Cricetulus griseus: one gene and its partner. The protein of the gene in region 1 purifies or fractionates together with the protein of each later gene. This does not show direct contact. Links are inferred from orthologs where the notes say so. Each region holds a gene or a part of one and is shown on either strand. Other genes may lie near its edges.

Evidence for each region. The genes of interacting proteins can lie anywhere in the genome.
Region 2: the proteins of Slc30a4 (region 1) and Stx8 purify together in Homo sapiens (co-immunoprecipitation; 3 studies listed by BioGRID and IntAct, with this or other methods). This does not show direct contact. The link is inferred for Cricetulus griseus from reciprocal best matches to the Homo sapiens genes SLC30A4 and STX8.

Annotation. Positions count from the first base shown.
Region 1 is NC_048599.1:55,840,974-55,844,621, reverse strand, and holds part of Slc30a4 (zinc transporter 4), read right to left. Parts: coding exon 3,644-3,648; intron 2,805-3,643; coding exon 2,670-2,804; intron 1,788-2,669; coding exon 1,633-1,787; 3' UTR 1-1,632. UniProt on the Homo sapiens protein: Probable proton-coupled zinc ion antiporter mediating zinc import from cytoplasm potentially into the endocytic compartment. Controls zinc deposition in milk.
Region 2 is NC_048600.1:81,830,578-81,834,883, reverse strand, and holds the start of Stx8 (syntaxin-8), read right to left. Parts: upstream 2,858-4,306; 5' UTR 2,740-2,857; coding exon 2,723-2,739; intron 1-2,722. Other genes in the region: Cfap52 (cilia- and flagella-associated protein 52), read left to right, coding at 3,640-3,715. UniProt on the Homo sapiens protein: Vesicle trafficking protein that functions in the early secretory pathway, possibly by mediating retrograde transport from cis-Golgi membranes to the ER.

The DNA of each region.
Region 1 (3,648 bases):
TCAACAAATACTCCTGGGTTTTATTAGGTAACATCAGCTTTTTTTTTTTTTTTTTGATATTATCAATTCCCAACAACTTTAGGGGTTGTTGGGATAATAATCTAGATTTTCTTATTTTAGTTTTACACATAGGGACAGTCTGCAGTATGAAGATAACACCTATTTCCCACTCGCCATTTACACATCATTTGGGTTTCTAGGATTTCAGTTCACAACTTGCTTGGGACATTGTTACTCCACTCTGATTCACTCAGGAGCCAAGAGTCAAATAAAGTGTCTCTGCTGAAAAGAAGTCATCTCAAAACAACTGTTGAATATTCAGATATGAATATTCACGACTGTCTCCTTAACAAACTTCTGCCAATTATGTTCCCTTAGTTGGAAATATTTATGCCACTTCCCTAGATTTAGCTTTAATGGCCATTCTTACTTCAGTTATTTTGTGCAATACATAGTTAAAAAAACAAAACAAAACAAAACTCTTCACCTTTTGTTTTCTCAAAGAACTTTCTCCACCCAACCCTCTGTAACTTTCTGCTATGGCATTATTGTGAAACTTCAAGGCTGTACTTTGGGGATATCTCTAATGCACGGAGAACCCCCTAACCATAACATAAGACATAAATTCTCTTTCGAGTAACAGGGTACTCTGCATGGTAGGCATTAATAAACTCAGGTACCTCGATAGGAACCTGAAAGATTCATACAGATTACACATGAGAACAGGGCACCAAGGAAACTGTTACTAACAAATATTGGCAGTTCTTTAAAGGACAGTGGATAACTGCTGAAGCTTTGTCATCTCTTACTGTCCTTAAGATAATTCTACATAAAGCACAAAAGTGATTTTCAGGGAAGATAGAAATCCAAAACTTCACATGCTACTACTTGCTCCTCTGTTTTAGATCATTATATGGTAAGGTAATCTGAGGTTAAATCTAATCTCTGCCATTCAGAGTTATATTAAAAATTTCCTAAATAATTTAATGACAATGACCACATTATGTGAATATTTCTGATAAGATTACAAATAATCAAAACATTGAGATTCAAAACCAGTAATATCTGGAAAATTTGCTTATAAAGTATGACTCTAATAATAAAATTAAGAGTTATTTATGAAATAAAACAGTTATGAAACACTTAGGAATACATGCTTATTCCATTTTCTGGATATTATTACTTTCTGAAATCTGTTGGGGGGCTAATTTTTATAAAAAGGGAACACAATTCCAGAAACTAGATGCCAAGATTATACAGAGACAAAAATCCCAAATAATTCAACACTGAGCTTGCTAGCACTGACTTCATATAAAAGGACTGTAAAAAGTAGTTTTAGATGCAAATACTGAATTCTGAGTCTTTCTGTTCGTCTTGTGTATTCTGTCAAATTAATGAAGTATGGTCTTGGATTGTCTTCTATGAGGTATCTGCAGAGTTACAGCTCACTCTGTAAACAGTACTTTGGACACTTCATCTGAAAATCATGCAGTTATCAGTCAGACCCGAGTGACTATGAGAGACCATGTTTGACATGGACACAGCTGTCAGGGACTCCATTAGGTTTGCGTTTATTGCTCTCAGGTCTGTGACTGCAGGATAAATAAGGCTGTAGACCCCAAGTACACAGGATCAGGTACTGGAACTCTGACAATTTGCACAAGTTCTGTTCATTTCTTGTCTGTAACTCTGGAGCTGAATAGTGCATTTATACATGCCAAATGTGTTCAGTAATAAATGCTTAGCTTTGGACTGCACTTCTTCCCATTTAGATGAACTTCCAGGAACTGCAATATCAAGAAAATATTGAATTATCTATTGTACACTGTTATACATTAGTAAACTAGATACAGAGAAGAAACAACAGTATACTGTGACCCTATGTGCATCAGTCTGACTCCCCCATCTAAGCCCTTCTTCTGGAGAAGACAGTGTGTAAGCCCAGAATGGCTTCTCATGACCTCAGTCTTTCCATGCTCAGCAGAGAGAATGCTGAATACAAGCCTCTTATTTAAGGACCTTATATTCCTTAAGAAAGAGCCAAATCCATATATTATTTTCATTTTTAAAAGCCATCAATCTCTGAAATGATTTAAACAAGAATCTGGCTTTTTATTATATAAAAGATGGCACAGCAAAAGTATATATATATATGCTGTCTTTAAAACTCAGGAAGATATCAATTTGTAATATCTTTCTCAAAGTACAAAAAAATTAAATAATATTATTTATTTATTTGGAGTTCTGGGAATTGAACACAGGGCCTCATGCATGGTAGGGCATGTGCTCTACCACTGAGAAATCTTCCCAGACTTTGTTATCCTTTGGACCTGCAATTTATCTTTTAAAGAATCTCACCCTCCCTTGTCTTTTTTTTTGTTTTGTTTTGTTTTTTTTTTTTTTTTTTTTTTTTTTTTTTTTTTGTTTTTCCAGACAAGGTTTCTCTATAGCTTTGGAGGCTGTCCTGGAACTTGCTGTGTAGACCAGGCTGGCCTCGAACTCATAGAGATCTGCCTGCCTCTGCCTCCCGAGTTCTGGGATTAAAGGCGTGCACCACCAACACCCAGCAACCTTAAGTCTTTTTTTTTGTCAGAAGTGTCTTCATACATATAACAAGCTCAGATGTTGGCTCCAAGAGCAGACACCTGTGAACCCCATTATCAACATACTTAGCTGCATGTGAACTATGGCAGTGGATTTTCCTGAAGTGAGAGACCAGATATTCAAATCTTCCACAGAATATACATCTTCTATTTTCATCAATGATTCTTTGATATAATCTACATTCAAGTGGCTTGGTACACCTATTAGTTTGAAACATATAATTTGTAAGTTTACTTTGGCAGGAAAAGTTTTATATTACATTTAAAGAAAACAAATGGTTTTGCTAAATTCAGTTCCAATGGATTCATTAAGCTATGCTTATATTTTAAGATAAATTACAGACATTTTTATAAAAATATAGGAAGTATACAAGATGTCAATAAATACTTTAAAAATGTCAATTCTAACTAAAATGGAGTGGCAATGAAGTTAGAACACAACACTAATAAGTTAGGATGGAAAAAATTTTTTTCAACATGGTTTCACTATGTAGCCCTGGCTGGCCTGGACTTGCCCCTATGTAGATCAGGTTGATGCTGAACTCACAGTGACCCATTTGTCTCTGAGTCCTGAGTGCTGGGATTACAGGCACGAGCCACTATGCCCAGCTTAGAAACATTTGATAAGGGTAGGTTATTGCTGAGAACTTTTGTCTTCATGCTTAGAAATGCTTTCAGGAAGACAAGGATGTCAAAAATATAGCAAAGTACAAATTAAATAAGATGAAGGAATTAAATAAACCAGAAGGTATAAATGCATGAAGAATCAAAAGCTGCATTCTCATCCTAGTTTTACAGTTTATTAGTGGCATGACACTGACTGTCAAACATTTTCTTATTTGTAAATGTCAATTCCCTCAACTGTCTGCTTTACCTACTGTAAGGGTCATGTGCATGACCCAGGGATTGCACTGCTTCTTGTTTGCTATGTACAAGAGTGTATCAGTAGAAGGCAAGTCATGGCTTCTGTCCAGAGCAATCCTGACTTGTTTTCCACTAGAGAGGGCTAAACCCACAGTGGGGCATTAATGAGTGCTTACCTTCC
Region 2 (4,306 bases), on another chromosome or scaffold:
TGGTTGGGTGTGGTGGTGACACAGGCCTTTAATGCCAGCACTGCAGAGGCAGAGGCAGGCAGAGTTCTGTGAGTTCAAGGCCAGCCTGGTCTACACACACACACACACACACACACACAGAGAGAGAGAGAGAGAGAGAGAGAGAGAGAGAGAGAGAGAGAGAGAGAGAGAGAGAGAAGAAAAGAAAATGTTGTGCCAGGTTCAAGGAGTCCCATACCAATCCCAGGAGTAGACACTGATGCAAAAGCAAAAGGTTTGTTTTTATTGTTCAAGCTGGCCAGCTTGGATCTCACTCCATGGTGGGGAAATGAGACGCCAACAAGCCAAAGAGAGAAGCTTTTAAAGGAGCAGACCGTAAGGTTGAAGTAACTTAACGAAACGTCTCAAACTTTTTTAAAAAGTGAATAAAGGCATAGCTCAGTGCACGAGACTCAATCACCAGCATCAGAAAGAAGAAAAGTGTTTAACTTGGGCTGGGGATGTGGCTCCAGGTCCTACAGAGAGAACTTTGTTGTGAACTTCACAAGCACTTCAGAGACAGTGTCACCCCTAACCCTAGACTCACATATACATCAATATGCATCATTCAGTATATTCAGGTATAGGTATGTGTATGAAAAAGAGCAGGTGGTTAATATATATTATATATGTTTTTTTGGGGGGGGTGTTGGAGGCAGGATTTCTTTGTGGCTTTGGAGGCTGTCCTGGAACTAGCTCTTGTAGACTAGGCTGGTCTCAAACTCACACAGATCTGCCTGCCTCTGCCTCCTGAGTGCTGGGATATAAGGTGTTTGCCACCACCACCTGGCTTATATATAAAATTTTTTAAAAAGAGAGGCAATAAGGAAAATAGTCCTAGCCCCGGATTCCCCACATTTTACTTGTTTGCCTTCACACTATCAGCTATGAAGACAGGAGCTTAGTCTTGCTCTGTAAGGGCAGATCAAACATATAAAATCCATAACACAATTCCATCAAATACGAGACCTAAATTAAGTACCTCTGGAGTTAGGATGGGAGACATTACTGATGTCAGAGGTGCTCAGATTGGCTGGGCTGCAAGAGGACATCTTGGGCTGACTTCCAGACTAAAGCAGATTTCCATACTGGAAGGAGGGGTGAAATCTAAACACCATGGAAAGCACAAGCACAGAAGAATTGAAGAAAGCATGCCTGACCAAGTACTGGCCCTGTTAGCAGGGTACATTTAAATAGGACAGATTAGCAGAGGTCAGTTTCTACAGAACTTGGCACAGTAGTCTAATGAGATCTGACTCAGGGGAATTTTACCCCAAGACACTGAAGCATTAGAACTCTTTTACTGTTAGTCTCAATTGTTTTACTCAGTGGCTTTCTCATTTGACAGTTGAAAGCTTTCTTGTGTTGCTGGTGACCAAACTCAAAGCCTTGCATGTAGTAAGTTCTACCACTGAGAAAAACTGAAATATATGAACATTCAGATGATGTACTGATATGCATGTAAAAATCATTTTTAAATACTACTTAATGATATGGAGACACGCTTCCTGTTGTGTAAAATACAAGCAGGATATAGATTCAAACAATAAAAGTCTTCAAAAGAAGTTAACATTGGTTCTTTCCAAATGATGAAGATGCTATTTATTTTCTTTCCTGCAGATACTCAGTAGTCTCCAAATTTTCTACCAGGGGTGTACACAATTGTTGAAACTTGTGTGTGGGGGGGAGTAAGAAGTGTTAAATTCAGCAATTTCCTGGGCATGGTGGCTGCATGTAATCGAACCACTTAGACTGAAGCAAGAGGATCAGGAATTTAAGGTCAGACTGGGCTCTCTGAGACAATGGAAACAAAGCACACAAACAAATGAAAGCCCAAGAAAATTTCAGCAACTAGCCCAAATATCTCAAATCCCAGGTAACTCTAACTCTGACCTTGGGATCCACTCTCCTAATACTTAAAATTGTCTGCCATCAAACAATTATAAACTGTACCAGAAACACCCACATAAGGCATATCCTCCAACAAGAACTTTATAGAAATACAATGTTATAAATTATTAAACAGGAAGGTCAAGACTGTATAGCAATGTGTTCCTTGTGTGAACACATTTTCTTCATTCTTTCCTTGGGGCTTCATTGCTGAATAAATGGCCCTTATCGGGTGCTGACTTTTGCACTAGTTCTTGCTGACGTTAAGTCTTCATGATACTGACACAGGAAAGGGTAAACTGCCTATCACAAGTGCAAACTTCCCTCCCAGATTGCTACAAGTCTTATTGTGAAGAGCCCATTACACCTATGCCCAGCTAACTACTAACTGGCTGGGGACCATGGAGTCTGAACCTCAGTTTCTTCCCTTTCTGGGGATTAATGGGTGAAGGCAGAGACATCCCACCAAAAGGTTATTTCTACTTCACTTTTACAGGACCCCAGGGGAGTCTACACACGCAGTCATCCACAGGCAGGTTAGGCGAGAAGCCCCCACAGAAGGCGGGGGAAAATATCGATTCTGCTCAAGTCCCAGCTCCCCCAGGTCACGGTGTCCCCCTCCGACCACCGAGTTAGCGCCGGGGAGGCGGGATGTGGTTGGGTCCCCAAAACAGGGAAAGGATCCTCACCCGCTTTGCTCACCCCTAAAAGCTGACAGCCTCAAGTTCAACGATGGCCAGGGTTTATGCGAATCCCTGGGAGCCACTTCCACCCCAAGTCCTACGGCAAACTACTGCCAACACCAGCAACTCACCAGGGGTCCGGGGCCATGGTGCAGTCTCCGCCTGCAGCTGGGACACTTCCTGCTCACAGCAGCTGACTACGGCGGCCCGCGCGGCTCATTCCCCGCAGTTCGGAAGGTGCGCGACCCGAGCCCAGCGGACAGCACAGAAAACATATTTTAGGGGCCTCAAAACCACACCAACCAAAGCTCACCCCTGGGAGACAGTGGATTGCAACAATCGATTTTTAGTTAATTCGTACGAACTGCTGGACGCAAGGAAAATGGTTAAATTGTTGAGCAGAATCAAAACCTTTTCCCAGGGATGGAAGCGCTTCAGACTCCGGCTCTCGTAGTTCTTCGCATTTTTTTTTTTTCTTTTTTTCTGATTCAAAAACAACAGAGCAAGCCGGCTGTGATACCTCGCGCCTGAATTTGCCGTGCTTGGAAGGTTGAAGCCGGAAATATTCATACAAGCAACGTTCATAGTGATACATACATGAAAATAGTTGCATACTGTACTTAAATTTTTAAAGTGATCTTTTCAAAAAGAATTCTTTTACAAGGAGGTATCAATTCCGTGTTTTGTTTTGTTTTGTTTTTTAATAGCAGCCTACGCATCAGAGGCAATTCTCTGTGTTCAATTACTTTTAATAGTTACCATAAGAGGCTTAATTTTATAGTTAAGACAAAAGTCAGAGTTTACACGGGAGACGAGGGAATTCATTCTGCATATTCAGTATTCACCTAACACCTAAATTTCTAGAATGAGTGAAAAAAATAATAAGGAAGCCCTCCCTACATTTACAAAAAGGTAAATAAAGTCGAACTCAGTGGGCTGGATTTCTGCTCCAGCGTAAACCTAGCACGCATGCGTGCGCCAGTTACCATAACGACCAAAAGACGCTGCAGCCAGGAGTTGAGGAATCAATGAGTTGAAATTCTCCAAGATGGAAGAACAAAATTTACCCGAAACCGAGACCGACGTAGCCGAACTGGAGCTTGAGGCTGTGATCGGCTTCAATGGTGAGGCCTGGAGCATCCATAATACCCCAGGGACAAGTGAGACACTGACTTGGTGGCACCTGAGAGGCCGTGGGGACAGTGGCAAGAGCCTAGCCAGGCATCACCCACGGTGATGAAGGATCTTAGCCTCATTCCCGAGCCTCAGAAATTGGAATGTGCCTAACTCAGTCTCTCTCTCTCTCTCTCTCTCTCTCTCTCTCTCTCTCTCTCTCTCTCTCTCTCTCTCTCTCTCTCTCTCTCTCATACGCGCACACACACGCACCCCTGGGAGCAGTCCTTGGCTCTGAATATTCCCCCAACCCCCACCCCCATGCATCCCCGGGTAACACCCAACCTGGGGCAAACAAACAAACAAACAAACAAACAAAAAAACACCTTTCCACACCCCTTGCTGATCTACAGTTGAGAAAGGCCTTAGGTGGAACTGCTCTAGGGGTGCTCTGTGTCCTCTGTCCCAAGTAAGGACTCTCAAAGGTTTAAAAGACAGGGATGGGAGGGAAGAGGACGTAAAGGGAGACCGCCAAGGGAGAGTCCTTGTTGATTCTGGAGAGGCCTGGCCGCTGTCATTACTTGTGGCTGTCATAAACAATG